4 linked regions of the Oreochromis niloticus genome follow. The protein of the gene in region 4 interacts with the protein of the main gene of each other region in a biochemical or structural test. Links are inferred from orthologs where the notes say so. Each region holds a gene or a part of one and is shown on either strand. Other genes may lie near its edges. The genes, in order: ncoa6, ets1, aire and crebbpa.

Region 1 (7,982 bases), on a different chromosome or scaffold from region 4:
TGGGATAGTGACTCCTTCAGGAATCCTTTTGAATAGTCAGATTCTGGACTTCTCATGGACTAATAAAACACAGGGCTCATCGCCTAACCCAGTAATTGCAACTTTTTTGTTTCAGTGTTAATGTATTTGTTCTTAACACATTTGCAGAATCTCTCATGGATGTTGTTTTCTTTTGGTTGGTGTAGCATAACAACCTCCACCCTGGGAAAAGACCCATGTCCTTCTTGATGCCCACAGCAGTGAGGCCAGCCGTGGGGTTATGTGGCACATACGTAGCTGTTGGATCATCCAATGGAGAGAAGGCTCTCAGTGGCATAACACAGGTTGCTTAATTACTGGAGGAATTTGTAACTATCGTAGTTATTTTCATCAGTGTGGAAATACACGTTGACAGAAGTTTACTTTGATGTTATTCTCATCCTTCATAGGTGCTGATGAATGTTTTGTCTTCACGTAAAAACATGAGTGACAGTTTAGCATATGGAAGACTCCACCCGCAGCTGGAGCCCAACACCCTCCTAGTGGACTGTGAGTTTTTCTTACTGATAGACACTTTTATCAGGTTTGATCCAAGCATAACAGTGTTGGTTCATGATTACTGCTATGACATGCAGTAAACACCATGCAAAGAGACATGTAGGACCCTTGTACCACTGCTTATTTTGTCTTCAGGTTGTGTTCTCTGTGTACACTATGCAAAGTAGAGGAGGAGCAGGAAAAGCAGCAGGTACTTCTGCTGTCATGGAAAGCAGATGCCAAGGTTTAGTGTTTCCATGGAACAGTAAAGTGTCTTAGTTAAAAGATCAGTCTTCTGTAGTTTTAGTAGGATGTAGCATAAATGGACTGGACTGGTACTTATATAGCACTTCTCTAACTGAGCACTCAAAGTGGTTTTTACTACACGCCTAATTCTTTCAGTCACACACACATACACAGCGCTTTCATTCTATGCCTTAAAGCGCTTTGTCTTGCATTTGCACACACCCTCACACTCAGACTGATCCATGGAGAGCAGCTTGGCCGGTGATCAAACCACCAACCTTCCAATCAGTGGACGACCTGAGCCACACCCACCCCCTAAATCTTAATTTCATATGTGGAAATCCCACGAGAATTTTGTGTTACGTCCAGGATTTATGAATAATAATATTGAATCAGTAGCCACTTTATTAGTTATACATAGACTAACAGATACTAAGATAAGATAAGATAACCTTTATTAGTCCCACACGTGGGAAATTTGTTGGACTACAGAAGAAAAGCATTGCCTGCTCTGATGAGTCTGATGAGTCTTGATTTGTGCTGCAGCATTTAGACAACAGAGTCATACTTTGGCAACATGAATTCATGGATCTGGTCCTGGTGGTGTAAAGATGTAGTGGATATTTTCTCGCCACACTTTGGGCCACTTAGTAAGAATTAAGCCTCATTTAAATGTCTCAGCTTACCTAAGTATTGTTGGTAACTGTTATGACCACAGTGTACACACCTTCTGCTGGCTGTCCATGTAATCTAGCAACTTAGTGCATGGGCTCTTAGAAAAGAAGAAAGCTTGGCAGCTCTACATCTATGATTGCCTGGGAAAATTGTGAAGATGAATACTGTGTTACAAAAAACAGACAGATGAATTATCTGGTTTATTAGAAATACACTTTATTGTCCTCTGGCTCTGTTGATATTAACAAGAGGGGTAAACTACTAACTGAAAGCTTCTAGATAGATCCAACTAATCTACAAAAATTTTTTAAAAATATTTGTGAAAAAAACCCCAATATTTGGCTCCAATCAGTTCACTAAAGTACAAAAGAAAAATGTGTCCAGCTAATCTAGGTAGCCTGAATCTATTGGTATTAATCCAAAGGTATCCTAATGTAGAATCATGAATTATCATATGGTTGAATTAATGGTCCATCTCTTAGCTACCAGAGCTTATTGACTGGTAGATGAGCAGCAGAGTGATGATCATTGGCTCAATCAGAGCCTCTGCTGCCTTCTACCTTGTCTTAATCTTGCCCTTGAATCTGTGTCATAAGTCAAAAGCCAGAAAACACATGCTTGGTTACAAACCTGATATACTAGGTCCTTGTACAGTTAGAGTTTAACCACACTGTGATCCCACAGCTACTGTTTTTATTAGCTCAACATTATGTTAGTACCATCTTCTGTCTCACACTTTCTCTTTCTCTCTTGCAGCCAAGTTTTTAGAAGAGGATGTGGAGGGGCTGGAAGCCAAAGGTCACATAGTTGAGAAAAGAGATATTTTGTCATTGGTGGAGGGCACACGGAGAACTAATGACCTCATCATTGGAGTGAAGGACCCCCGTAGTGCTGATGCCTCTGCCCTTACTATGTCCAATATGCCTTAGTGCATCCGTCCAATCGTACAAACATATAATGCCAAGATAGTAAGACTTACTCTGTATGACGCCTAAAGAGAGAGTGAGGAGGCTGCTGATCAGATAAAGATAACCAAAAGATTCTGAAAGGGATCCTGGATAGCTAATTTGTTTTGCTCACAAGAATACTAAAATGGTCACCATCTTGCATATCAATTACTCTACCACATCCTCATGTAACGTCCAGTCACGGTGTACATAGTGTTGAAAATGTGTGTTCAGTACCCTTACCCTTAGTGGCATCAGTCTGCAGCCTGCATTATGCAGAGCAGGGTAAAGAAATGTTAGGTGTGCTCATAACTTATTATCCAACACACTCCAGGTCGGTGGTGAAAACTGTAATCTTTAAAGGTTAGAAATTATTGGGTGTAGCAGCTAGTTTAGACCTGAGCGAGAGGTTTTATGTAAATTAACAAAAGTAATGATGCCATGAAGTCACCATTTAAACAGCACATGCATGGTGCAAAGTGCATATGAGTCACCGGATTGCTTTTCATCTCTTGCACTACATTTCACCATTAAACCAGATCGCGTGTGAGATCAAATGGAGTGGTGAAGGTGATAGTATTTACACCAGTGATTAAGCCGTGTATTGTCACACATGAACAAGACTGTCCTGAACTGAACACAGAGGCTAAAGCTTTTACTCTCCTGCTCGTTATATGGTGTGTAACTGTGATTAGATGTTGTTTGGTACAGCTGCTGCAGCTTTAACTGTTGCAAACAAACAGTGACTCTCTGGACCATTTTTAAGACTAGCAAACGCATTATATGTCGTACACAAATGTGATGAGACCGTCCTATCTCAATCAATTTCCCTCATCAAGTGGATATGATTCCGTTTAAAAGGTTTTAAATATCAGTTACTGTAGAGTGAACGTATTTAAATACATAATTTAAGACATTTGAGTTGTTGCATGATTTTGTTCTCACTTTGAACCTGTGAAGGCTTTTTTTCTTTTTTTTTTAGAGCTGGTACACTTGTTCCTAAATTTGGATTAATCAAATTCTTTAGAGATGGAATGAATGTAATGACTATTTTTATATGAACATTTGTTGTGCTGTACACATTATTTCTACTGTTGGAGCATTGCATTCACTCGGCACATATTTAGGAAGGGATGTTCTGTTTACTTTTTGCCTACTTTTGTTGTTATATTAGCTAGAATATTTCAGGAGCCAGCAACTTTTGTAAATCATTGCACTTGAACACAAAATGTGTTTGATCTTTGCATCCAGAATGGCCAGTGCTGACTAATCAAATTGGGGTTTTCACCTTGTTTTCTCCCTCACCAGTGCAATATGACTGTTGATGCTTGTTTCCAGTACTGCAGAGTACCATGCCTTAAGGCACACATTTGCACAGTCTGATGTTGCACCTGCCTCTTTGTTTCTTTGTTTGTTCATGTTTGCTGATTTTAACAAAAATCAGCACTGTTCAGACCCAACAAATAAAATGTTTGCACACATCCTAAACATTAAGGATTGTTTATCTCTTTTTGAGCCTTCATACACTGAGCAAAACACTTGAGCCACCACCTATTTCTGTCAGATTTTTTTTTTTTTTGTAATTTTTAAAAAGTGATCTTGAGCAGTAGTTCTCCAGGGTTTTTGAAGACTTTTCAAAGTTTTTCTTTGAACGTTACCACACATTTTCGTTCCTATCTTTTTAACTCACAGTTTTCTGAGGAATCTGTTTTTCTCAGTTAAATCATTTGACACTGACCTGTGAATCATTCAAACAACAAAAACCTTAGCAAAGGATTTTTAATTGTATCTTTAACTGACTATGAAAAATGCAAAATATAGCAGATTGATTGGCATAAAATTGTATTTTCACATTTAACAAGGTGATTCCCAGAGTGTGTGGAGTGTATCCTTAAAATAAATTGAGTAAACTGGACAAGTGGAGGACAGAAGAAGTGCCAGGCTGAGAAAACTACGTACCCCAGATAAAGAGTATCTCAAAGACGTGTCCTTAACAAAAAGAGAAAAGAAATCCACTAAAGAGCTGACACAAGACCTGACAGATGCATCTATTCCTGCAGTTAATACATCTACTGAAGCATCATTGCAAATGGTTTCAGTGTTTCTGTCAAGAAATCATTAAGGAAGGGAAATGGAGAGAAAATGTTTAGGGATGTCAAATTACACAAGACCTGAACTTAAAATCAGTAGCAAATGGTATATGGGGTCTAGTTTTTAATTACTAATATTATGTGATCTATTAATACAAAAACAACAATAAACATTAGTCATACCCGTGAAAATTACAAAATACTTTCTCTACTCAAAGTTGTGTGTTTTTCCCACAAACTGACCACTCCAAAATGGACTGTCAGGTCAAATGTGTGATACTGACAGAATTCCATAATGCTTTCTAAAGTGGTAGTAACTAGCAATGTGACAACCCCACTACCTTTTAAAATTATTCAGCTGCTATTTTACAAAAACGAATTATGAAATAATAATAATAATAATTATTATTATTATTATTATTGTTATTATTAAAATTTTAGAATTATGTAATTTTTTTTTATTTACTTCAGTTACTTTTATTACAAAAAACGTTACTTCCTCGGTTTTTATTTTGAAAATCATCGCCGGAAGTTGTAACTTGGCTGTAAATTTACACTGTATTTGATTCATGTTTTGTTAGCTAATCTAGCAAGCAGATGCCGACTGCTTCAACTTATTTTCAGATGAATATATGTGGTAAGGCTTTTGCTTTTCTTAGGCCTATTTTACTTATCATAATATGTTGTAAGCTAAACTTAGCGAATTGGAAAGCTAATGCATTGCGTTTCAATGCATTCATGCTGAATTACCTTCTGTGCTATCCAGCTAACGTAGCTAACGATCGCGAACTGGAGCCTCTGGAGAAGCCAGGGGGGACAGCCTTGACGTTAATTTATCCTCTTTCATAGTGTGGTGAAAACCGTGTTACTTTCGGCTATTAAGTGTTCTCAAGAGGGCAAGAAAATGCACAGCAGCATAGGATAGGGGGAATATGTGGTCGCCCTGGGGATTTTGATCGCTTTACGTTAGCTTATGTTTGCGCTAAGGCCCGTGCTACTGCTGGGCCGTTGTTGTAAAGCAAGTTACGGTTCATGGCAGTAAATGTATGTGTTGTAAGACTTTAATTGGCAGTAATGTAAATTAAGCTGCACTTTAAATAACCCTGCCTCTTACAGAGCAATTTTCTGTTATTTGACATGTCTTCGATAATAAGTTCACCATCACCGGTCAAAGTGACGTCATTGTATTACAGGTGTGTTAACGTATGATTTGCAGTGATGGCCATTTACATACTTGCTGTACTGTGCCATTGTCTTGAGCCACTACTTATTTCTGTTCAGTTTGCTTGGAAAATGATGCAGAAATTTAGTTAAACTTGCGGAAATATACAGTATATGAGGTAAAAGCAGAGTTTGTACAATTCTAACAAACTTGAAAGTCAACATTTGATATGACCATCTTTATTCTTGAACACAGCGTAAACTCTTAGGCAAGCTTTCTTTTATTCAAGTCATTTCCTTAAGTAGCCTTTAGGAATAGTTCTATGGAACAGGCCTAACAATCATGCCACCGTGCTACTGTATAGTGGATGAAAATCTGGTGCTTTTCTCCAATGTCGCCCCAAACCAAGACAGAGTTTCCACTGTGTTTTACAGATGGTTGTGGGTACTTTTTCTCTCTCTGACTTCTCTCATACATTATCTGGCATTTGACACAGACTAACCTTTTGCCACGCTTGCACTGGTGCACCTAACTTCTTTTCTTAGGTGCACAAGCACAAAAGAACAGCTTGATATCTTATGGACTATGCTCCATTGCTGTCACATGCCCCTCAGATGGCCAACTACTGTAATTTGGCCTTCTTGATCAATTCGAAACGTATTAGCACCAGTCACAAATGCAGTATTGCCGGCCATGGTCTTTCCACACTCACAAAAGTAAATGCAGTGCATCATGTTGTCAGCTTTACTGTATCTTAGCCAGGAAACTTTCAGTGGGCTCTGGCTCGGAGTTGATCATATGTGGCTCATTATCTGATGCTGTCTCCGGACCAGTATTAGACATAACCTGAGATGTTGATGGCTCCATGTCAGAGCACTGGCTATGAATTTCAGACAGATCATGCCTTAACTTAACGAAAAAGTTATCAGTCGTTCTTTTCATCTTTTCTACATCCACTTCTATCAGCCTAGGCTACTTGCCTCTCTCTATCTGCCTGCACTTTCAAACGTACACACATGTAAGCTTACAGGAATATCGGGACCACGGGCAATCAGAGAGGTCCTGCCCTTGACTATCTGTGATTGGTTTAGACCACGATCTGGGCATAATGTGTGTCTGTTGTTGACCACTCTGAGACTTTTTTTTCTTTTACTCGAATGGCTGGTTGCACCGGTGCGACCTAGGATGTTTTTTTTAGTCACACCATTTTGAAATTAGGTCACATGTGTGACCAAATTGGTCACAGTTGCGCTCCAGAGCTCTGCAGAACTTTCAAATTTCAGTTCATCACTCTGTAAGTTCATCACTCTGGTTTTTGGTCCATTTCATGTGTAATTTGGCATACCTCTGCCTTTTTTCCTTAAGAATTGTACTCTTCTTTTGCATTATGTAGTTTAGTTTAGGACTGTCATTTCTGTTGTACCTCACCTTTTTAAGGACACATCTTTTTTGTTTCACCTCAAAGGCATGGGAACAAATGATGTTTTTGCAACAGGCTGCTTGTAGAGCTGGGTGATATAAGATTTTTTCATATCACGATATGTTTTTTTCATTTCAGGCGATAACGATATATATCACGATATAAGCCAAATAACTACATTTGTAAGATTTAAATGTGCCGTTGCTCACAAGTAAAATGTGAAATAATTAGCAGCTTGTTTTAATTTAAATATTTATTTCCCATAATAAGTTCAACAGGGTAGATGTACTTAAGGAACATGAGACTTCAGTTTCAGATAAATAAAGGCAAATATTGCAAACTACACAAAAGGCAGCCGCTAAAGCGTTTAAGTTTCAAAATAGAACAAACAAAACAGACTACTAAATTGTCAATTCCACTTAGAAACAAAATTTTAATTCTAGAAAATAAATCTTAGTTTGTTTTACAGAAGAACAGACAAAATTGACTAACTTTTGTCAATATCAAATAAACTGAGAACTAAAAGGAAATTCTCAATCTCTCCTTGTTGTATAGCTTAGCTTTTCAAACAGTTTTAACAGTTACTTTAGTCTGACAAAAGCCGAATGACGAATTAGCGCTTTCAGCCAGAGATTGAGCATGCACCGCTTTATTGTATTTCCAGACTTGCTTTCGGCACAATTTACAGTGCGGGCTACTCTGTTTTTTGTCAGACTTGAAATAGCCGAAATACCTTCACACTACGGAACTTCTGTGGCCATTCTGTTCGACAAGCTCTCCAGCATTGGAACCATCATCGGTTTTTTCTTTGGTAACCTTTGGTCACGCTCTCGGTTGATTTTTCTCTAGTCGGCACACTCATTTCCTCCATTACCCAGGCAGCCCGGCTGGCTGCTTCCCAAACAAATACACATGTGCGCCTTGAC
Region 2 (7,923 bases), on a different chromosome or scaffold from region 4:
AAACAACATGGAGTGCATAAATATCCAAAATCTAAATTTGCAACTCACTTTTGAGTAAAACAATGAGTGGTCTTCATATATTGTGGAGGTAATGAGTGATTCTGGGCACAGCCCTTGCAACCTGCTGCTGTTCACTCCATCCTTCATGTCTGGGGTTCTTTCATTGTGTTCATTATTTGTGCCGTTTGTGTGAACAAAAGATATGTAAAGAAAAGGACTAATTCAATGCATTACAAAAGGTAAGGTTTACAGTTACAAATGAAACTAATTGCATTTGTATCCATTTCATTTTCAACAAGCTGTTTGATTCTTTGAGTTTTTCTTTTTTTTTTGCAGCTGTTTTCTGCATACTGCCTTTGTGGAATACATAGAACTTAGATATTGTCTTAAAGAGAGAAAAAAAATATCAGAGCCTTTGCTTTTTGCTGATAATTTATGTAAATTCAAGAGAATAAAACTACCGAGGTGACATGGGCTCACCTTTTGACCAAGCTGCCCTTGTATACAGTAGTCTCAATTTCAAAGGCAAGCCCCACCACCTGAGCCAATTAGGAAACAGGGAGAGGGATCATTCTGTGTTTTGTATTAGAACGGGGTGGGGTTGCCATTTGCATGTAACCTCAGTCTATTATCCTAATGTGCTGGTGCTCTGCATACAAATGGAGGCATTTATTTTGCAGCACACTGGCCTTCACCCTTCAAATGCTCACCTGACAGGAATCCCAATGTTCCCAGCAACTGTCTCTGACTTTGTATTCAGCGCTACCATTTGGAAAGTGTTAAGGGTTCTTGCAAACACACTGCTGCAAAGCACAGCGCGGGTGGCTGAGCTGAGAAAAGTGCTGGTCTGCTGGGATTGCCTGACTCCAGTTTGATTGGTTAGTGCCAAGGCTGGAGGCCTAGGTCTCATTATTTACAATATTACTTGCTAAAGAGAAGTACACGGTGCAGGCTTGTTGTGCAACACAGAGGAGCTCGAAAGGGCAATTTCACAGCCGTGTAGAGAATTGTCTTGTTCAACAGCTCTGTTTCCTAACTTTTGATGAAATCATGAGGAACAGCATGTACAGATACAGGCACTATTACTGCAAACCCTGGTGGAGTGAACTAAAAAAGAAATAGAGTATCCTCCTGTAAGGTGATGGAATCCAGAGTTGCTAATACACTGACAAGAACACCACTCTAATGCTCCTGCACACATTCCTGCACTGAGCAGTTTGCACACACACACACAAATGCTCATTCACTCACACTCGTGGATGGCTGTGTGGTAGGTAGCCAAGGCAGTCTTAACACAGAGATAATTTACGAGGGAGGTCTTACCAGTGTGCCCAGACGGTCACAGGGGTGAAGGGCTGGGTAGGAAGAAACTGGATCCATGTAGTAACTCATCACGGACACTGTGGACAGGAGAAGCAGGGCCTGCTGAAGGGATCAACGTACAAACAGTGCAGGCAGAGAGAAGCAGCCTATCCGTCACACGCTGTTTACACTTTGTGTGTGCAGGTCCATGGTATATGTGCATGTATGCATAGGTGTGTGAGAGAGGAAAAGCTGGGAGAGGAAAGGGGGTCAAAAAAGAGATGAGATAATACGGGGAAATAGAAATTTGAGCTGTTTTTAAAAAAATACAACATCTTGTCATCATGTCATTTTTTACATTTGTTTTTGATTTACAATATATATTTGTGTTACCTTATTTCTGTTGACATGTAGTCAATCAATCAATATCTCACATTGCGCTACTTCATGGTTTAAGTCTGACAGGATGTTATTTTTTTAAGAAAATCTTTGGATGTTCTCAACAAAAATGGATTTCAGCTGAAGTAAATCCATCCACTGAGCGAATCTAACATTTCCACCACTTCTTCCACTGTCTTCCTCCCTCCCATTACACCAGTCTGCCTCCTCCTTTCATCTACCTCGCTTCTTCCTCCTCTTCTCCTTCACCCTCCTTCCTCCTCCTCCTCCTCCTCCTCTCCTTGCCGCCCTCCTCCACGCTTCTGCTTATCACTTAACATTGTTTACTCAAAGCAGCACCAACAAAAGAGACTGAAAAGTGAACTGAAGGACTGCATTAGAGGTGGGTTGTGATATGGGCAGTGTTGTGTTTCATACAGGTCTCATCTTCGTCACATTCATATGTTAAGCAATTTGGCATTTCTAGTCTGTGGCAGCTGCTGACAGAAAGATGTGCAGCCGCTCAATGCTTGCAGATGTTCGGCATATCAAAATAAATAAATAAATAAAATTAAAAAAAGATTCAAATGCTTTTATTCCCGTAGAAAGAAAAAAATAGCACAAAGTGAATAATTACTTCTGTCATTCAAACGCATGCCTACTTTTAGCCGTTCAAGTCTCTCTGATTTATTGAGAAAAAGGCAAAAAAATAAAAAATCAATAAATCAGTGCTAGATAAAACATCCATATGGGTCTAACTCCACATTTAGTCATATAAAGAGATGCTATTTATATATGAAGCTACATTTCGGAGCTCTGTTAGAAGTCAGTCTAAACCCCGCTAATTGAAGGCAATTAGCAATCCTGAAATTTCTTTTCTTCAGAGAAAATAAAATAAAACAAAAACGTTAAGGCAACTTTTTATGCGCAAAATAAGTAAAGGTGGAACAGGTCGGAAACAACGCGTCACGCATTCGGAAGAATTCCTGACGGGAAAAAACTAAAACTTTAAAGCCAACACTTTCCCTCTTGTGGATCAAAGGAGCGACGAGCGCAGATAATAACAGCGTCTTCTTATTCTACCACTGACCTGTAAGAAGATGCAGAAAGAAAAGGAGAAGAAAAAACAACAACTTTGCACTTACCGACTGCGGTGTTTAAAAGTTTCCTGTGAGCGCTGGACAGCTGAGTGTGACAGCTGAGCGGTGGACTGCAGAGATGCTGTACCTGCCTCGCAGCGAATCCCACGGAGGAAGAAATGATATGCACACTTTTAGTCCCTCCCTCAGTCCTACGGTGATCCTCTCCAAATCCCATTTTTCCTCTGTATGTAGTCTTTGGACTTCACATGTGGTTCGCATGCAGCCAGAGTAGGTGTAAACTTGTAGAGAGGCTGTGCTGCCATGCTTTCCTCTATTTTCAGTCAGCTTGTGTTTCAAAAGCTTATAATATCTGTATTCTCTTTCACTAAATATAATAGTGTATTTTTTTTTAGCTAAATTAGATTTAGGTTTGTTTATTTCCTTTTTTTTTTTTTGGTTTGTTTGTTCCTCTTCCTCTGTCAGAGTCATGACAGGGGGGAAACAGCAGGGAGGCAAAAAACAAAGGTTTTGACTATGATTGCAACTGTTGACTTTCCTGTGATGTTGTCCTCTGACACCGTTATTTGTCTGACAAATGCAATTTCTTTCTCTCTCTCTCTTTAAAACAACAATCTCAGATGTCTGAGCATGTGTGTCAAGCAGCAATTTTACATCCTTGTATTGTCGGTATAACCTGGCACAGTATCCCAGACTTCTCAGATCTGGCATCAACCTAGGCTGAAATTACCTTTTAAAGGAAACTGTGGCTGTCAGATCAATTTGTCTTAGCAGAAAGCACCTGCATATTTATTTACTGTACATCACTGACCATCATATCATTCTCCAACCTTTAACTGCATGCATGCGGGACACTGATTAAAGCTGTGGTAGAAACACTGACTGCTCTTCTGCGAAATGAGAAGCCCCCCCTTCCCCGACTACAAGGCAAAATCTACATCCACCTGTTCTGATAGAGGATAGTGATAACTAATCGAGAGTGCGGAGTCTTATCTGTCTATTTGCTTATTCATTGCCGCATTTGTTTGCTTATTTCCACGCTGGAAACTCACAAGCTTTCCACTGCATTGCTCCCTAACAGCATGAAGCGCCAGCCCCCTCCCCGACTGCTTCTTCTCCCCTCTTCTCTCTCTCTATCAGCTCAGCACTCAACACTTGCGAGGCATCTGAAACACCTTGTGGCTCCATGATAATAGCGTGACCCCAGTGCCGCATTTGTTTGAATTAGAAAGTGCACGGTCCAAACCTCCTGACAACCACTGCTCTTACCAGTAAATCTTAAGTCTGGGGGGTAAAGAGGTGTGTGTGTGTGTGTGTGTGTGTGTGTGTGTGTGTGTGTGTGTGTGTGTGAGTGAGTGAAGAGCTGTGGGGATGTGGGGTGGGGGTCAAGTCCAAGGTGAGAGGCGTGAAGAAGTACCATAAGGGGCTTTCTCAAGACCTCATCTGAATCCCTTGGTGTTCTCAGGGCCTCAGCACTCTGGGCCCCCAGGGGACACAGATGGGCAACACGTCGAGGGCAAAAGGCGAGGGTATGACTTATTGCCATGTGGAGAGAAAAAGCACGAGACGCGCCCCCGTGATGAAACCAAATTGAATAAAAGCAGGGGTGAATGAGATCCAGATCTTCAGCCGATGCCCTGGCAATGCTGTTTCAATTAGCCGGCTCACCAGTTCAAAGGCGAGGCCCCAGATACACTTCTGCTCTGCATGAAGCTACTATCATCACTTTGCCCCTTGCCTTTCACCTCCCCATTACGGTGCCATCTTTTTCCGCTCAGAGCCTCAGCCTGTCTGCTGGCTGTGCTCATGTTTTACATTAAACAGATAGTGAACGCCTTGCCATCGCAGTCGGTGAAAACCATCAGTCAAACAACCTGCAGGATTTTACAACCTTTACAATCACTCTCTTGGTTTGAACTGCATCTGCATCAGCTCTGAATTAAACTTATGTTGGGTTATTTTACTAGAAGAACAATGTTTAATACATTTTTTTCTTGTTTTTCTTTTATCTAAAACCATGTGAACTAAAGGTCATGACAGCATTATGTACAGCCCATATTGATACACAACCCCTTATATAAAATATGGTAATATTTATACTGAAATTACACTGTTCTAAAGCATCACTTTAACTACGTTTTTCCTTTTAGCTGCGATATATAGGAATATTCATCATCCTTCTTGTTTTCTTGATGGTTTCCTGTCAGCTCACTGCTCAAATGCTGCAGCCGTTTGTCCTCCACTGGTACCCCACATCTTGTTGAGCAGCTCCAGACTATGAATCCTTTTGTCTCATTTTCTCAATTTGGATCTTCCAAAGATAGCACTGACAGGTGATATTAATGGTCTTTTATTAGCATCGTCCTGATTGCTACAGATTTTTTGGAAGCGCAAGATAAAAAGAGCGAGGGAGGAGAACAAAAAAAGAAGGAGAGAGACAGACAGAGAGGGAGAATATGGAAGTCCTCCACCCACCACTTCTCACAGGAGATCGCCTCTCTTTGATAGCCTGCCCGAATCTGTTCCCCCCATAGAAACTGCCCTGCAGATGTTGTTGCTGTATGTCGACTACAAAGAAGGAGCCCTTTATGAGAGGAACATCTATTTTGGGCCTCAGTGTTTCCGAGCTGTGGTGCTCAGCGAGAGAAGTGCAGGCCTAATCTTTCTGCTGTTGAAAACTCTGTTTTATTCTCTGCCCATGATATTTTTAGATTAAAGCGCAGTTCTAATGAATAAAGTAAGAATGTAATGTTTTATGACAGTATCAATATGCCATCACTGTGGTGGACTTGGGCCTAGAACAGCCTACGTTGCTATTGGCATCAGCAGACAGAAAAAGGGGTGGGGGTGGGGGGGCACATGGGACAGTAACCTCAGTGAAATCACGAATGTGGAGAAGCCTTTGTTTCGGGCCTGACTATACTCGTTTAGAAGCGCTTGTGGCTCAGATTTTCATCTTCAGCCACAGAACCGTGACTTTGTTGCACTGTTGACTGCGAGGCAAAGGTCTCGGGGGCAATATTAGCTCTTGATATTATTTTTAATTAAGGCACCAATCCTTCAGCCAAGTTGTCCAAACAGTTCTAAATAGGCTCTGTAAATCAGACAAACATCCTCAATATTTGATGGGTTGAGAGTGTGCACTATAGCCTCCAGATGGTTTGTGTTTCTCAAGCGTTTCACGAGGGATGGTACGGGACAGCAATCTTCTGTTCGAGTGTGCCTCTTGACAGAGAAGTTCCTCCAAATCACATGCTGAGTCGCTGGACTTCTGCCTAGGTCTTCTCTCTCTCTCCCTCTCGTGCTCTCTTTCCCCGCTGGTCTTCTGACTCCTCTGTGTGTGGATTTATCTGTAAGCTATGTGTGTGCACGAACTGTAGCTCTTGCTTTTTTGCCAGTCAATACTTTGTTTAATTAATTCCATAACAAGCTGATTCGTGCTGAAGCTAACACTATGCATTTGGTCTTTTACCCCCACCCCCCCCAAAAAAAGGCCAGCACAGCTCACGATATCAGGATATCGAGCAGTTGTGTGTGTCATAGTCAAAGCTGTTCAAAGCTAATGCATTCTTTGATAAGTGCAAATGTAATGGTGCTTAGGAAAAACAAATCAAAACACTGATGTTTTACACTAAAAGAAAAAAAAAAGATGGGAGTGTAGTAAGATGAAAGGCAAGCAGTCTGAAGATGTAGGGAGAGGACTCGATGCACAGTCCAACTTTCACTGGTTGATAAGCTGCTGGCCTGGCGCCAAAATCCCCATCCCTACCCCCCTCAAACACACACATACTCACACACACATGTTCAAACACCCCACCCAGTGGTGAGCACTGACCCTCACCAGCACCACCACACCAACGCACACACACATACACGCAGCACCACCACTCCAGTGGCGTCTCCAGCTCGCTATCCCTCTTCATTAGTGTCCCAGAACGAGATGCTTGTCATGTAATTAACAGAGGTTTTCTGAATGCCTGCGTAACGCACGCTCTCATTAGGACAGCGAAAGAAAGGGCTGGAGCGAGAGAGGAGAGGTGGAGAGGCAGGCCTGGGAGGCACGTAGAGGGAGAGCAATCAGGGGAGACAGATGGGGAGAGAGACGGACAGGACAGGGAGAACATGGGAGGGGGGGGGGGATAACGTGTTTAGAGCAGCAAGAAAAACAGTGACTTACATGTCGAGGGGCAAGGTTTCTGACTTTCAGCGTGCCAGCTAGGGACACAACTGACAATTACTGGGATCTGGACTAAATTATAACGACTTACCTCAGTCAACTGCTATTCTCGTTAATATTCAAAAAGTCTTCTAGAGGTCGTTTAAGCCAAGCCCTCCTCGGTTTTCTCTCAGGGTCATCGTATTTAAATGTGATGTAAAACGAAACAGATAAGTTGAGTATGAATAATGAGTATAAGTGTAAAGGGAAAGTTACCTTAGCTGTGGAAAAACATGTAATTGTGCTTATGTTTGAATGACTATCAGCCCTGATGACCTGTCCTCGGTCTCTATGGTAGTCGAGATAGGCTCCAGCCCACTTATTAGTCAAAGAAACAGATGAATACTGCTGTATATTTCCCAGCAGCTAACATTTAGCAGAAGACTGCAGAAAGTCTTGTTGAAGCTATGCCAGGTATAAAGCAAAATTGTGCATGTGTCATCCGGAACAGTTGGTTCTCTGGTGGATACTGTACCTGTGTGACCTGAGTTTTCTTCATCTGACACAGGTGGAGCCAGCTTAGAGGCCTATTGTATACGCTTAGGCTGGCATCACAGTACTTAAGGGCAATTATAGTTCATGGAAGGCTAGACCCTTGAATTTGGAATAAGGAAAACACACAATACAACCTACTAATCCATAATTGGATTAGAGCAACATCTTTTAGCATGTGCACAAAAGCATCTGATGTATTAACACTTCTTTAAGTGTCCAGCACACTTAAAATGTAGTGATCACATGAAAGTTCATGGAGATGCCCAGTAATGTGTTCCATGAAAGATTTCCTTCACTGCTATTCCTCCGAGGAGAGCATTGAGTAAGGATAAGGCTCTTGCAGAGTGCATAAGGATGCCCTATGGGTGCCCTGATAGCATCACACAGCTGATGAGAGAAACACTGTTTACACACTTTTGTGTCACGTAATAA
Region 3 (7,577 bases), on a different chromosome or scaffold from region 4:
ATTCTTTCACTTATAAGCAATTATATTTAATTGTTATTAATTGTTAATTGTTATTTAAAAATAATACTAATTTGTCAGGTTAACTCAGTATATTTGTAATGTTGGATAGTGCCGTACCCGATACTTGCTTAAAATAGCATTAAAAAATATTTCAAATCAAAATTAACGTTTACACAATTAATACCGATATCCAATCTCTGTTCAGTTTCGTACCTTCAGCAGTTGCTCTGTGATGATGTTTTTATCCGCCAAACCATAGACCAGGGGGAAAGGGTCATCCACAGCCATAGCGATGTCAGTTCGCAGCTCCCTCAGCAGCGAGCGGAGGTTTGTGTCCCTAAACGCCTCGACTCTTGACATGATCTTCTTTTGTGTGCAAGTGAGAAATGACCTGACACGGTTTGAGATCATAGATGAAGAATTTCAGATGTGGGGGGTGTGTCGCTCACAGGGAAGGTGCACTGCTTCATGCTGATTGCATAGATGCATAAGCCATATCTTAAAAACTCCTCTATTTTTTTCATCCTGTGTTTGTGCTTTTAATAACGCATCTATGACTCTATGAAAAAAAATGAAGCTACTAGCCTTTCATTTCTGAGACTTCCCTCCAGGGAGGCCAGCCCTGGACCTTTTGTCTCTTTTCAGTTCATTTGTCCACTAACAGCACTAACGGCCTTCATCCAGGGGAATACCTGTCCTCTTACATCAGGAGAGCAGAGTGAAGTGACCTGATGTGCGACAGTTTTCTTCTTAAAAGGTTCTTTCCACCTCAACTTCCCCTCACCTGTCAGGTTTTCACACACTGACTCACCACAGGGAACTCCGCATTCGTGTGATAATTATGACTTCGCCACAGGCAGGAGAACATTAACACTGTAAACAGTTTAATGACTGACAGACTGATTGCATGACTGGTAGCCTACTATGCTTTATGCCTATTTTCCTCAGTTGTTATTCTGTTAGTTTGTTCCTCTATTTCTCATTATTCTACTAAAAAGGCCTAAACAAAGAGGAACCGGTCTCTCCTCCAAATATACAAGAGAATGATAAAATAAAAATCGTCTAAGGTTAAGGCTTGGGGCTTGCCTTTTACTAGAGAGCATTTGCCTGCAGTTTCCACTAATTCAATTTCATGTCATGTAAATATCCATTAAGTCTAAATGCCAATTACTTTAACTCATAAATAAGGTTAGGAGACAACTGGGTAGCTTGAGAAATATGCTCACTAAGTCCCTTAGTTCACTGCAACTAAGTTTAGCATTAAAAAGGCTACTGCTTTAGTAGCCAAAAAAATCATCTGTGGTTTGTGTGCCAAACCATATGAGGGGGAAATGGTCATCCAAAAACGTGACAAGGTCAGTATAAAATCTCCCGCAGCAAAGAATTCAAGTTTTAGATTCTTTAAAAGTCTCAATAACAACTGCCTCGTTTGTAAATGAGATACAGAGACCTGAGGCCTGTATTATGAAGCAGGATTTAATCTTATCTGGGTGACTTCAGGATTAACCCTGAGTTTACAGTACTGTGAAGGTGGATCATTTCTTACCAGGATATATGGTAACGGGTAAGGTGACTTATAGTTAATATGCTACCTGTAGTTTCAGGTTAGAGATCAACTAGTACCTAATAACTGCTTGCTGCCCAATCAGTTCTCCAGAAGAACTCTCCGACCTGTGGAATAGTACAGCACAAAAGTCTTTGTGCTTCCCCTGGTGACCATCAGTACTGCTATAGAGTCTTGGGCAACTTAGTTTATTGGATTTTTTTTCCTGTTGGTTGCAAACAATTTGACAACAATATTATTGTTCCATAAGCAATATATGATCCTAAACAGAGCACCTGACCTTATACAAATTTGTGCATCACCTAAGTTTGTATTTTATTTTTGTATTTATTATTTACTTTCAGGCCTTTAAACATCATTGGGGGTTCAGCTGAAAGAATAAAAACTAAAACTATCTTTTAAACATTAATTTAATGAAATACTTTTTATAATCCATCAGGTTCTCCCATGTCTTAATGATAGAGCTGCTAATATTGATGAATCTGTTAACTTACACAATCTGTATTTTCACCGGCTTTTGTTCCTGGAAAAACATTATTAATATTGCTGCTCTTTTCCAGTCTTACAGGATAAAGCACTTAAGCCACATACTGTTAATATGATATTACTCTGGGGTGTTTTTACTCTCATACACACTGCTGTGTTGCTTTCAGACTTCGTATTTTCTCATCAGTTTCATCTTCCTTTGAAAAACCATCTTCATGTGGCGGCTTATCCTGATTTCCAATGTTAGGCTAAGTGATTCAGATAATGGAGAGACACCCTGAGTATGGTGAGCTAATGCGTAATACAGGCATCTGGAAGGGTCTGAGATTATACTGGTCCAGTCGCTTATTCTCAGAGACTACTGTTGTTAATTTTGATTTCATAGTTGTGAGGAAGTTATGAATGTTTTCATGTTTTAGGAATGGTCCATAGTTTGTCTCTTTTCCAACCAGTTAGCTAATTAAGCTAAACTGTAGCTAAAATGTCAATTGAGGTTTCCTATGAGGTAAAGCAAATATAATTTCAATTTATGTCACCAGGCAATGTCACGAAAGGGTTCTCATATAAAACATCAAACAGGTGAGGCTACACTTTTTAGTGTTTTTTACTGGTTGTTAATGTTAAGAGTTAGATAACAGCTAAAATGCCTAGCTACCAGTTAACAACTGATATCTGCATAAGCACACATGAAGTGCTCATTACATTTTCATATTTAGTTATTAAAAACACAAAAACATGGCATACAACATAACTAAACACTATATATTGTAAGTAAATGCTGCATATCTAAGGTCAGATTGTGTTCATAGCTTTAGCTTAGATGCTATCAGTGTCTTAGCGTATCTTAGCCGTTACTAACCCATTTGTTCCCAAGAAAAATAAGTGCTGTGTAAATGTAGCTGCGTATTTTATTCAATTACTAGTTATTAATCACTTTAAATATATTCTGTCGTTTTCTATTTAATGTAACTAGTGTAGTGGTTTAAACCTGCTTGTGGAAACTCTCAACAACTTGCCATATCTCACATTTTCTCAGAAAAAACAGAAAGTAAATAAAATAGAAGAGTAGATAATTTTGCTACCAGGTAAATGTTGATGGTTAGGAGAGTGAAGCCCTTTAATCTGTAATTTATTAATCATTAAACATTATTACATTATTCATACTGGTGAACAAGGACCACTTCTACAGAGGGACGTTCACAACATACATATTACATTATTATATACAGTGCGGTGCATTACAGTGGATTGTTATATGTGTATTACCGGGATGGAGGGATGGGGAGACTGGAAGGACAGAAGGATAGCGGGAGGAGAGAAGGAAGAGGAGAGGACTTTTAGGAGGGTTAGGGAGTTGTGATAGTAAGTTGTCTCTTTATTACTTCTTTTTTAACCACAGTACAGTTTGTTCTATAAAAGTTAAACCCATAGAGAGATAGAGTGCCACATTTTCACAGCTACTGTTAGGTGATCCTACTGGAAGTTGTGGGAATATCAAATGAGATACGTCTTGTCATGAGATGCTATAGAGAGATGCTATAAAACATTCTAAGATAGTCAGCCTCCTTCCAGAGTACGGAGACCCTGGAGGGCAGGCCAAAGGTCAAAGATCAGATCAGCGTGCATGCGTGCTGCAGACATTCAGACATGTTCAGCTATTTAGAAAAATGGCCGACCCTCCTGCTATTTCTCCTTCTGTGTTTAGGCATCATTTTTGGTGCTTTCCCTTTTTATATATAAAAAATACAAAACATAACAGCGAAAAGAACTCCATTGGTTTCCTCATTTTTCTCCAAACTGTTTTTTTTTCAGTGTGTGTGTGTTCATTTTCATTGCAACAATTGTTTTCTTCCCTTTTCTCCTCCAGTCACTTACATATTGACAAAGTATACAATATTTTACAACTGAACAAGACTGAAAGATAACATTTGATTTGTCCAATCAGATACAAGGCCCACATCCTATATCCAATTGGAGAAGTCAACTGGAAGCTAACCAGTAGTAAGCAACACAACAAGCCTATGGTGTGAAGGGAGCTGTCCAAGTGCAGCTCTGCATTAACATGAGCACCCGCCCTCGGGCACAGCTGGTTCCGCTGGTTTGTCCAGCTTGATGTCAATCACTGGAAATTGGCACGTTAAGGAAAAGTCACATGGCGAAGTAAACTATTTGGCCTATACATGCCAAAAATGATAGTCATAGATTCCCGTAAGCTAATGCGGACTCAAGTCCTGTATGCTACAATTACTTGTTTCTATCTCCTTCCCCTCCATAGTTGTAGTTTTTTGTCTGATCCAATGTTACGCAGCTCCATCTGAGGCCCCAAAAACTTTGCCCCATGTTTTCCCCACAATCCTCAAGACTTGTAGACAAACCAAAATATGTTGAGCTTCATAGTATAGTATAGACAAATCCATATGTTATACTACAATTTAAGGGCACATCTTTAAAGTTAAATGTTTCTTGGTTTGTAAGTTTCCATATAATAATTCCCATTTATTGATAAGAATCCCTCACCTTCCTTACACAACCATCCTCCATCACACACCCTCCTCTGCTGTCACTTCCCAATCAGCCACTATGTGGTGCTGTGCCTGTGCATCCACACCATCTTCCTGGCTCTGTGTATTCCTCCATTATTAAGCATAAAAGGCTTAATGGCCGATTCCTCGGCAGTCTGTCTGTACGTGTGCCAGCAGCCACTAAGAGATTAAAAATAAGCCGCCTATTGCTGGGCTGTTTGGCTATCGGCATGGTGAGTCACGGCGGCTGTAAAGGATACTGCCTTCAGGATTTGCATCGTCCAGGCTTTCCATTCCAGGTAGGGCTGCTGCAACTCGACGAAACAGCTAGGAGGAGAACAAGAGGGAGGAGGTTAGAGAGCAGGAGGCAGCAGGCTTGAAAAAATGGTAAAATGTAAAAATGGGGGGGGGGGGGGCAATGCAACACAAAAATGTTCACTAGTGCTTGTTGAAGCTGGCCTGATTTGAACTTTTATACTCTTGAGGAAGATTTACTTTAAAATTTTGAATTTCTAAAATATAACTACAGCAGTAAGATGAATCTATTGAAGTAGAAAGTTTGATATTTTCCAAAATTGTACTGGATGTTAAGTGGTATAGCTAGTAACATTAAATGTTAGTGCCTTCGATGTGTGCTTAAGTGCAGTAGTTGAGTAAATGTACTAGATAGATATCGGTAAACTAGCTTTTGTTTTTTCTTTTCATTCATCTTTAGCCAGCAAGAACTAAATACGGAACGCACATTTTACCAACATTGTACATATTTAAACGTTTGATTTATCCACACCGGGTCTGTGTGGTGGCGTGGTCACCTTGGAGGGATTTGGGGATTGGCAGAGACTCTGAAATCAAGTGATGGCAAAAATGCTGTGAAATCTGGTAAAACTGCAGGGATCACCTGTTTGACATTGCAGCCTGTCTTGGCACTGGTCTCGATGAACATGACGTTCAGTTCTTTGGCTCTCTGCTCTCCTTCCTCGATCGTGATTTGCCTGCAGGAAAATCAGGCCAGACTCAGCATCTCGGGCTAATTCATTCGGCAGTGACGTGTTGCTTCAAACAGCTTTTTTGCTCATTTAAGGAACCAAACCTCCGCGTCAAAGATCACTCGACTGTAGCTAAATGTTAGAGATGATTACAAGCCACTATCTTTACCTTTTCTCTTCCAGGTCTGTCTTGTTGCCTACTAGCATGATGATGACATCACTTCCTCTCTCTGTCCTGACATCGTCAATCCATTTGCAGGTCTGCTGGAATGAATTTACATCTGTGGAGCCCAGAGTTTCCTATTACATCCGGCTTTTTTGTCTCAAAAACACAACAAAAACTATATATTTTTACTCAAGTGTTTGTCTGTTTAACACAGAAACACACAACTGTATCACCTGCATCATATACAGGCTACAGCTTTCTGCTTACTTGTAATGTCATAGACAACCACAGCCACCGTCGAGTCTCGTATGTAGCTCGGAATGAGGCTCCTGAAACGCTCTTGTCCAGCTGTGTCCCACAGCTGCAGCCTTACCTGCATGTGTGCACACACACAGACACACACACACGCCTTCAGCATAAACTGCCACACCACACACAGCCTATAAGTACACTTCCAGGAGGATAAGCCAGTATCAGCTCCTGTGCAGGCTGGCAGAGCACAATAATATCCTGACAAAGAAAAAGTATTAATACTGGCTAAAGCAGATGATCCATGGGTAAGGCTCTGAGTTATTAGGGCCAGAAAAGTCAGCTCACCAAAGCTGTTACTACCAGAAATAACCATAACATAATCACATTAGTGTGTGACGGAAGGGAATAATTAAGCAAATCAAATCAAGGATTAGTCAAAGCAGAGAAGAAATTGGGCTGTTTCCTACTTAAAACCTCAAGTCATCTGCGCATGTATTTAGAAATGAGAATTTTAAAAATGAAGATCAAGGTTTCCTACTGTCCGGTCCTCCAGGTACATTGTCTTCGATAGGAAGTCAATTCCAATGGTCGCCTGTGGAGAGGAAAGAACAAAAGAGGGGGAGAAAATCATCAGCAAAAACCCAATCATTAAAATTTAAATGTTTCTCTCCACCATCTGTTGTTCCTAGCAGAGTGATTTTTGTTCAAATACATAAAGCTGTTAAGAAAGGGGGGGGAAAAGGGAGCCAACAAGCACAGAAATTGAATCAGACTGAAACACTAATTTAATTTGTGCTGCCCTCAGGGCCCAATCCTTCAGACTTGTTATGTACCAAACTTCTGAGAAAGGCGAAGGAGGGAATGATATATTTTCTCTTCTTAAAGAAACTAATAGTGCTGCAATGCTGTTCCTGATCATGTTTGAATAAATGGCATGATTCAGATCAGGACATAATTCGTGAAAATCTAATATACTGAGTGTTTTTGACCAAAAAGCACTCGCTGCAATAACGGTCCCATATTAACCTTCAACATTCAAAAGAAAAATTGAATTTCTTTTACAGTTATAAGCAATACCACCAATACCTCTTTCGTATAGATGCTAATCAGCAACGCCATCAATCAATGCTGCTTAATAATTTAAAATTGTTTTTAGGTTCTGGATCTGTTCCAGATCTCACCTGATATGTGTTGTCGAAGCTGTCATACATGAATCTAGTGATGAGAGACGTTTTCCCCACTAAAACAGAGCACACACAGGTTGGTTTCAGGGTCCAGACACATCGATATATGATCTCAATCAACATAATGAAAATATGCTTCATTGATGTGACAACACCACAGTTATATATGAATATTTAACCAGCGCCAGCTATCAAGCCAGTAAAAATGAAAAGAAATGAAGGAGGGGGGAGAAAAAATCCATGACTCACTGGAACAAAATCTGCCCGGTAATTCACCAAAAATATGCCTGAGTTAATATGTGATTATGAATCAATGAATAGCTCAAAATAAGGGCAGCAAAATGGATTTCAGTTCAAAGTAAGCAAGAAAAATCTGTTATCTTAGATTTCCTGTTATCAAATGTGTAAATGTTTCTC
Region 4 (7,581 bases):
TGCAGTGTATTTTCACAGAAGCCTTTCATATGTTTAAATTTAAAAAAAAAAAAAAAAAAAAAAAAAAATTAAAACCAAAACAATGGGCAAAGGGAGCAGGAAGGACACATGGGAGTCTGGTAGTACATGTTAGGCCCAGACTAATGGGTATTCTTGACCGTAAAGCCTGTAAACTTGTGAAAAATCCCCAGGGGATGTTTGGAAGTGTAACTGTTGCACAGAAAACAGATCAGGTGAAGGACCTTGATTGATACAGTGAAAAATGTAACCGCTAATGATCATTCAACAAGTTCACCAATGGAAACATTGAGATTTTTAACTACTCTAGAGAGATGCTGTTAACGTTGGGCTCCAGCTAAAATGTCATTGTGGCGTGAAGTGAACCAAACAGCAAAAATATGCACTATAAATGAAAGGTTTGTGCTTCATGTACAGCACAAGGGAGAAAAATAAGAAAGAGAGAGAGACCTTTGCAGTCAAAATAAGTTTAAAAGGGCCACTGTTTTATCCCCAACACTTTGTTTTCACTGAAACACAAAATCAGGAATTGAAATTATAAATTGGTTAATTGCCGAGCCCTAGTTTAACTGTAATTCGGGGTGCTTCTGCATGTAAAGCATACATTACTTTCTGATTATGCTGAAGATATGAAATTAACTCATTTTTGTATCTTCACACCAGGAGCAACATTTTCCCATCACAGAAACAGCGAGCGCTGCAGAAATGCAGTTCAGCTACTCCACCTTTACCACACAGTACTGCAGACAGGTTAAGAGTGCTGCAATAACTCAGGTTTTCATTAAGGGCCCATGAAGCACCTCAACAAAAACACGCAGTCAATCAGATGAAAGAAAAAGACACGTTACTCAAGGGTTTTTTTTAAGTCTCCAGATGACTTTATAATTTCAGCTATCAACTTTGGAAGAACAAGTCAAAAAGTTGATTTAAAATAAGCACTAGTCTTGTTTTATAATAAAAATGATTTTTTAGGGCCAGGTGGGAACTCACATCCCCAATCTTTGCTTTCCAATTACAAGAAATGACAGATACAAGACAGGCATTTCCTAATCACTCAAATTCCAATACTCAGAGCCACATACAGATTTCTATCTTGCATTCCTACACATTTTTTTTCAGCAGTGCCCACGTCTGCTGAGATATGTGACGTTATAACCATATCTGCACTCTCTGCAAGAATTCAATAAGTTAAAGGAAGCTAGCACCATCCAGACTGAGTGTGGCTATGTAGGCTTGCTCAGGGATGGATGGAGTGGCCATTGGGATGAGTGAGGGTTGTTTTTTTGTTGTTGTTTTATAGCCGCAAGCTGAACCAAGTGGGCACAGCTACCAAAATGGTATCTGTTAATAGTCGTTTTCTTCTCTGACACGTGATTACACACACCTAAAATCGTACCTGAAATAAATGGAAATGGATGCAAACTTCATCAGACTTAGTCTTAACAGGTGAACAAACATTGGCATTAAGTGGTATGTGATTTGTGATTTTGAAGACAATATTATTTAAGCTAATTAGGGCCTAGGTTACCTCTGTGGGTCTATCATGCCATGTGTACCTGCTGTTAATGCAATGTCAGGCTACCACAAAAAACACCACCTTGCACCTGATTCGAGAAATAATTGCCATTTTAGTCTTGTGGTTTTTCAAAGCGTTACAGTACAGCAATGCAAAGCTAATGCAACACCTCTCAAGATAGCAGAAGTTTTATTTTTGCTGCAGGTAATTTAAAGTTAGAGTTGTTGTAGCCGTGACCACTTTAGACGCTCAGGTGAGTTCTTGTGCTGATCGTATTGTGTTAAGGTTTGCTGCAGAAGTCAAGGCGACTGTACCAAGACTGGCATTTGCGTATTAAGGGTAGGTGCAGTAAATGCTCACCTCAGAATGAAACCACAACACTGCGGTAAAACCACAGTAACTGCTACCCAACCGACTGGATAACGTGTAACGTTGCATCAATGGGATCGGCTGATTTAATGCCCATTAGTAAAAGAGAAGTTTAAGTGCAAATGTTCATTACATTTGGGTTTGTGTGTGCCGACAGTATCGAGGCCTTTACCTTGTCCATCAGACGTTGACAGGGCAGGTGAATTCAGCTTCGGCCGCTTAGAGAGTGGAGGTCCGGCGTCCAGCAGGTTTTCAGCCATAGTTGAAATCTTGCCTGGCCGGTCGCTTAAGTTGATGATTCTGATTAGCTTATACGTAGAAAGTTGTTCAATCACCAAAAACCTTCCCGGTTAGCACGTTAGCAAGCTGGCAGCCTGCTAACGTTGGCTAACTGGCTAATAGCTAGCTAATTGCCTGCTACCAGCTAAAGTAACTGTTAGCGTTTAGCTACTCCTCGCCGTGAGAGTCGGTGTCTTTTAAAAGAGATGCAATAGCGCCCCGCTTCGCCACCGCCATTCACCCCATGATAATCCAACACCCAACACCCACATTATTATCGTTAAATACCCCAAAATAAAATATTCCCCATGTAAAAATCGAGCCTCACACTGACGATCCAGTTAAATCAGGTGGATTGCTGCATTCCGGGAGAAAAGTCGTAATTTCTAGATGTTCAAAGTACCCATTTTGCGTGACGTCAAATTTCTTCATGCAAAAATCGCGCGAAGCTCCACAAAAATGCACAATTGCATAAAAATGCCGTATTTTTGCAAATCTCTTCGAAAGTCACGATCTGCTCTCCGCTTGCCCACGGTAAACAATACTGCTCCCGAACGGCGACAGGGGCTGAATCACCGCACTCTGAAGGGGAAATCAGATATACGGAGCTTTTCTGCCCGACGACCACCAATCCAATTCCCGTTTTTTCGCACAAAATGTCTCCGAAGCGATATTACGATTTCGTTTTCGGCAGAAGGCCGCTGTCATACCACGGGAAGGATGCTCGATTTCTACGTAAAACCCAGTGTTGGACCGAAATCCTAATTCCGAGCCACGACAAGATGGCGGCTGTTGATTCCTTCGGTACAAAAAAGTTTTTTTTTCTTTTCCAGATCGGCTGTAGAGGGGGAGGGGCCGCGCATTCACGCCCTACGTGAAAACACCATCACCGCTGACCGCTGGGGGCGCTACAGCACAACCAGTGATTCACACATGCACTTTACAACCCACTTGATCTTATCTTTTAAGTTATTTTTGTAAACTTGGGGCAAAATATATACATTAATATATAAAAGAAATATCATTTATAAGATGTTTTAATGCAAACTTAAATATTTTACCTTATTTTTACAAACTCACGTGATTTTTTCTGGAAAAAAGAAATTAGATATAAAATGTACATTTCAAGGATCTGAATTTGCTTTAATAACTGGAAAAATATGAATCTCTGCATGATATTGGAGTTTTTTTGACTACAATAAAAATACTCAAAAGTTTTCAGTTTCTAGCCACTTATTCGTCATTTTTTAAATCATATTTTACTGTCTTTTAAATTTTGTTATCAGTTTGCAACAAATTATTAAAACATACCTTCTTGCAGTTAAAATGCACTTGGTCAATATGAACTGTGCCCCAACTTCAGTCATCAGCTGGCTGCTGATAAAGATCACAACCCTGTCTCCAATTTTGAGACCTTTTAGGTTAGGCCTAATCCTCCCTAAAACCTGTCCAATTTGTAAGTTGCCTTTTTGAGAATCTCTAAGTTGCTTCCCTCACCTCTTATTTAGTTCTACAAATGCAAAACTAAATGACAGTACAGTCTGTCATCAGTCATTATATGCACAGAAATTCAACTCTACGTAACTTTACACGTCACAGTATGCTAGACAGTCCAAGCTTTCCGCTTGGAGATTTATTTCTCTCATACTGAAAAAAAGAGGAATAAAGTCATATAACTCACACATAAGCAAACAGACACACAATAAATCAATCTGATAATATGTGTCTCTTATTCATTGTTTTTGGACAGAATCTGACACATGCACATGTATAAAAAAATCATATGTGACAAAATAACTGCATATGTACAAACACTGAGTGCTTTGTGCAAATGTGTACAGATTACTATCACGTGTTGATAAATGATACATGGGTAATGTGCACAAAACGTACATTATACATCTCATTCATGAACATTAAACAAATACATTTCAAATCAAACAACACTGTTTAAAATCTGTCCCAGTGTAACTTAAAACACATACGGGTAGAATTTACTTGCAAATTATAATGAAAAGACGTGCAGCTGACATAATTTAAAATGAGTGACAATGTGATGCTTAAGTGCTGACACTCTATGCCTTTATGTATTTCCCTTATTTCTCTGTCATAAAGCAGAATCACACTTCTGCAAAAAGAAAAGAAAGGAAAAAAAAGAGATGACTGAATGCCATGAACTTATCCTTTTTTAAACTGGAGAACTATCTTCTGCCAAAACTGAAACAAATCATTTATAAATACACTGTCAAATAAGGACAGTATTCAGGTAACCTTAAATGAGCAAAGCTTAGTGATTTGAATTTCCTGAATACTGGAAATCTATGCATAATAATTAACATATATGTAGAATGACATTGAAATGAAATAGGATGACAGTATAGTACAGAATCAAACTAAAAATAAGGAGAGGACTAGCAAAGAAGGAAACTACTCACATGCAAACAAGTCTCACTCACACACATCTCCCCCTACTGCACCCCAGGTCACATAAGTCAGCAGCGTGTAATATTTTATTCATATGTGTGTGTACAGATTAGTGCTACCGGAGAGGTTGTGTACCCATGAACCTGTGGAGTTCTTCCTACGCCACCTCAGATCTATGGCTAGTTAGTGTCACTGCTGTGCATGGTAGGGCTGCAGGCACATGGCCTGAAAATCCCATAGATCATCTAACAACGCAAGGCAACAAGACGGTGAACTTTCCTTCACAGCTGATACTCGATAGTCTCCTTTGTTTGTGTTACATTGTGTGCTATGCTTCATTAGATCTGGCAAACAAGAGCAAGTGGAGAAAATGCACAAGTAGTGTAAATCTTTCAAAAAATAATGATTCTGGGCAACAAAAGCAGGACTCTTAACTATTTCAGCGTCTGCAGTGACGGCTTCTGGAGAAACCTCTTTGGATTTTCAGGGTATTAATGCTACAACGGTTATGATAATTGATGCTATGATTAAACATAGTCCACATTCAAAAGGCACAGGCTGTGTATGTCCAGAGAGCTTAGTGAAAGAGGTAAATAAACATGTTTTGCTACAGGTCCCGACAGCTACATAACTCATCCTTCTTGTCATTCTGGCATTTTTGCATGTGGACATATTTCTGAACAGAGAAAGGCCATCTAACCCAAATGCTGACTCATTTTTAAAACATGTGGTGGTGAAAGCTGAAAATGAGTAATCTATGGATAAGGCAATAGCAAACTGTCTCCATTTCTGTCTTTTTTATATGATTGAGTTGACATAAAACTTTATATCTCTCACACACTTAGGAAATATAAGAGAGAAGCACGTGCTTTCAGGAGAAAAGACAAAGCACGAAGTGAGGAAAGAGAAACGGGAAACGAGCAAGCGATTTAATGGGAGCGCCACCACACTTTTCCAGATGGCTGGTTTGTGTCAGGAGGAAAGAACTGGAAAGCAGCACAAAAAAATATCTGGAATTTATCAAAAAAGAAACTAAACCTGCACACAATGACCATTAATTTTCTCAAATATACAATCACAATCTATCCTCAGCATAATGACAGCTTGGTAAAAAAAAAAAAAAAAGAAAGAAAAAAACTTTCTGGAAACCAAAAACTGAAAAAAAAAAATACAGTCATACTTTCAGGCACCACAAACAATCAGCTAGATTAGGCTGCACTGCACCTATAATCACTCAATTAAAGTGGCACAATTTTATTGAATCAGTAGAGGCCCCGATTGGTGAAAACACTGACAGGATCAAGGTAATAAGTCCCAATCTTTCAACAGCAAATCACAAAGATAAAGGCAGATGACAATGATCTGTTGGGTAATCTGCACGGATGGACTGACCATTGTTTAATTTTTTTTTCTTTTAGCAATGAAGGCAACGAAAAAAAAGTCACAAGATTTAAGTCTGAGGTTTTACACACAGTACTGTGGAAACTGTCACACATCCCTAAATTGACACCGACGCCAACAGCCTGTGGACCACCCCATCACTGACCAAGAACTACGCAGTGATTGTCCCTCACAGTCCCATTTAAAGTTATACTTCACCTGAAATCCTTCGAGCATCAAGCGCTCACCTCATCGGAGGACATGGTGATATTCTGTATTTGTCTTACTGACTCCAATGAAAACAAAATTAAAGCACTGGCAATACTTGCAAGTATCATACTACCTGCCAGCATTATTAGGACTCTCTTATAATTAATAATGAGTGAAATCTGTGTTGTTGGTGTGGATGTGAGTGCGGTAAATGGGAGTGCTGAATTTATGGTAGTTTGAAAGAGTGATTCTCGTATTTTGGCTATTTATCAGGATTCCAGTAGGAGCAAATGGGATAGTGGCTGTATTCAAAGACAGGCCAACACGCTGCTGGCTTCCTCTTCATTCTTTTCATTTGGTCAAAACAAAAATACAAAATATCACCAGAGAGATATTTGGTCTTCCAAGCAGCCCGCCATATAAAGGAGTGGTTCTGATCAAAGAAAAAGCTGAAATATCAGCTAGCTCGCATCGAGACAATTTTACACTACCTGTAAAATTGGACATGTGTGAGAGGTGAGCGTTTAATGCCTGAAAGACAGATCCCAGTATATTTAAAGTGCCTTCCTGCATTTGTGATGGTCTCACTTTTTAAAACCACCTTTCTTCCAGATCTATAGTCCCTTGTCTGATTAGATTTTGTGGTTTTGATTCTCTCAGCTCTGTTTAAAGTTTCTTAAAAGCTATTTATTGGTAATAACTACTGAATACAAGTGGTCGAAAAAAAGAAAAACACTGTGCAAGACCTTTGCTTAAAATGTGCATTGAGCTGCTACACGAACTAAAATCTCTGCAGCCTGCATGTCCCTTGAAAGTGAGACTCTGGCACAAATGAATACTGTATTAAGCCCTGATGTCAAAGCACAATACATAAATTAACACTGCTTCATGTGATTCCCTCATTCTTCCCAAAGTTTCCAGCTCCGCCTGTCATGCTGCATTGGCACTTATATAAAATCTAAAATCATTTTCCCTTAAGTAAGGTCAGGACTTTGATCAAGTTAAAACAGTTGATATGGCACAACAATAATGATTTCTGTAAGAAATACTTGCATTCAAAATAAAAGCATGAAATAAGAAACCACAGCTTGTTCTGTAGTCTAACATTGTTAAAACTTGTTCAGTATTCTTATTTTTGTTCACTGTTCTAGTCCTGAAGGCACTTAATAACAAAAGCATCAACAACAACAACACCAACAAATCCCTCTTTCCCTTTTCAGCTCGTTCGCCATCATAAACTACTGTGCTCAACACAGGTAAAACCCGCCCCAGGACTCAGGCAACACTCCCATGAAAGACATCAAGTACAATCTTATAGCCACTGCATCCACTGGTTTTGTTTTTGACGTGACCAGTCTATCTTCCATGCCAAAGACACTTGCTTA

What was found.
Region 1: the proteins of crebbpa (region 4) and ncoa6 form a complex in vitro, tested with the Homo sapiens proteins (2 studies listed by BioGRID). The link is inferred for Oreochromis niloticus from reciprocal best matches to the Homo sapiens genes CREBBP and NCOA6.
Region 2: the proteins of crebbpa (region 4) and ets1 form a complex in vitro, tested with the Homo sapiens proteins (3 studies listed by BioGRID, with this or other methods). The link is inferred for Oreochromis niloticus from reciprocal best matches to the Homo sapiens genes CREBBP and ETS1.
Region 3: the proteins of crebbpa (region 4) and aire interact in far-western blotting, tested with the Homo sapiens proteins (2 studies listed by BioGRID). The link is inferred for Oreochromis niloticus from reciprocal best matches to the Homo sapiens genes CREBBP and AIRE.

Annotation. Positions count from the first base shown.
Region 1 is NC_031984.2:16,681,522-16,689,503, reverse strand, and holds the start of ncoa6 (nuclear receptor coactivator 6), read left to right. Parts: upstream 1-4,981; 5' UTR 4,982-5,111; intron 5,112-7,982. Other genes in the region: ggt7 (glutathione hydrolase 7), read left to right, coding at 1-91, 186-323, 429-528, 2,194-2,366. UniProt on the Homo sapiens protein: Nuclear receptor coactivator that directly binds nuclear receptors and stimulates the transcriptional activities in a hormone-dependent fashion. Coactivates expression in an agonist- and AF2-dependent manner.
Region 2 is NC_031979.2:15,937,420-15,945,342, forward strand, and holds the start of ets1 (protein C-ets-1), read right to left. Parts: upstream 3,013-7,923; 5' UTR 2,998-3,012; coding exon 2,826-2,997; intron 1,401-2,825; coding exon 1,324-1,400; intron 1-1,323. UniProt on the Homo sapiens protein: Transcription factor. Directly controls the expression of cytokine and chemokine genes in a wide variety of different cellular contexts. May control the differentiation, survival and proliferation of lymphoid cells.
Region 3 is NC_031982.2:15,968,800-15,976,376, forward strand, and holds the start of aire (autoimmune regulator), read right to left. Parts: upstream 3,006-7,577; 5' UTR 412-3,005; coding exon 214-411; intron 1-213. Other genes in the region: rab6bb (RAB6B, member RAS oncogene family b), read right to left, coding at 4,108-4,172, 4,833-4,899, 5,471-5,564, 5,728-5,839, 5,992-6,097, 6,515-6,568, 7,158-7,216. UniProt on the Homo sapiens protein: Transcription factor playing an essential role to promote self-tolerance in the thymus by regulating the expression of a wide array of self-antigens that have the commonality of being tissue-restricted in their expression pattern in the periphery, called tissue restricted antigens (TRA).
Region 4 is NC_031971.2:30,620,796-30,628,376, forward strand, and holds the start of crebbpa (CREB-binding protein), read right to left. Parts: upstream 3,006-7,581; 5' UTR 2,164-3,005; coding exon 2,076-2,163; intron 1-2,075. UniProt on the Homo sapiens protein: Acetylates histones, giving a specific tag for transcriptional activation. Mediates acetylation of histone H3 at 'Lys-18' and 'Lys-27' (H3K18ac and H3K27ac, respectively).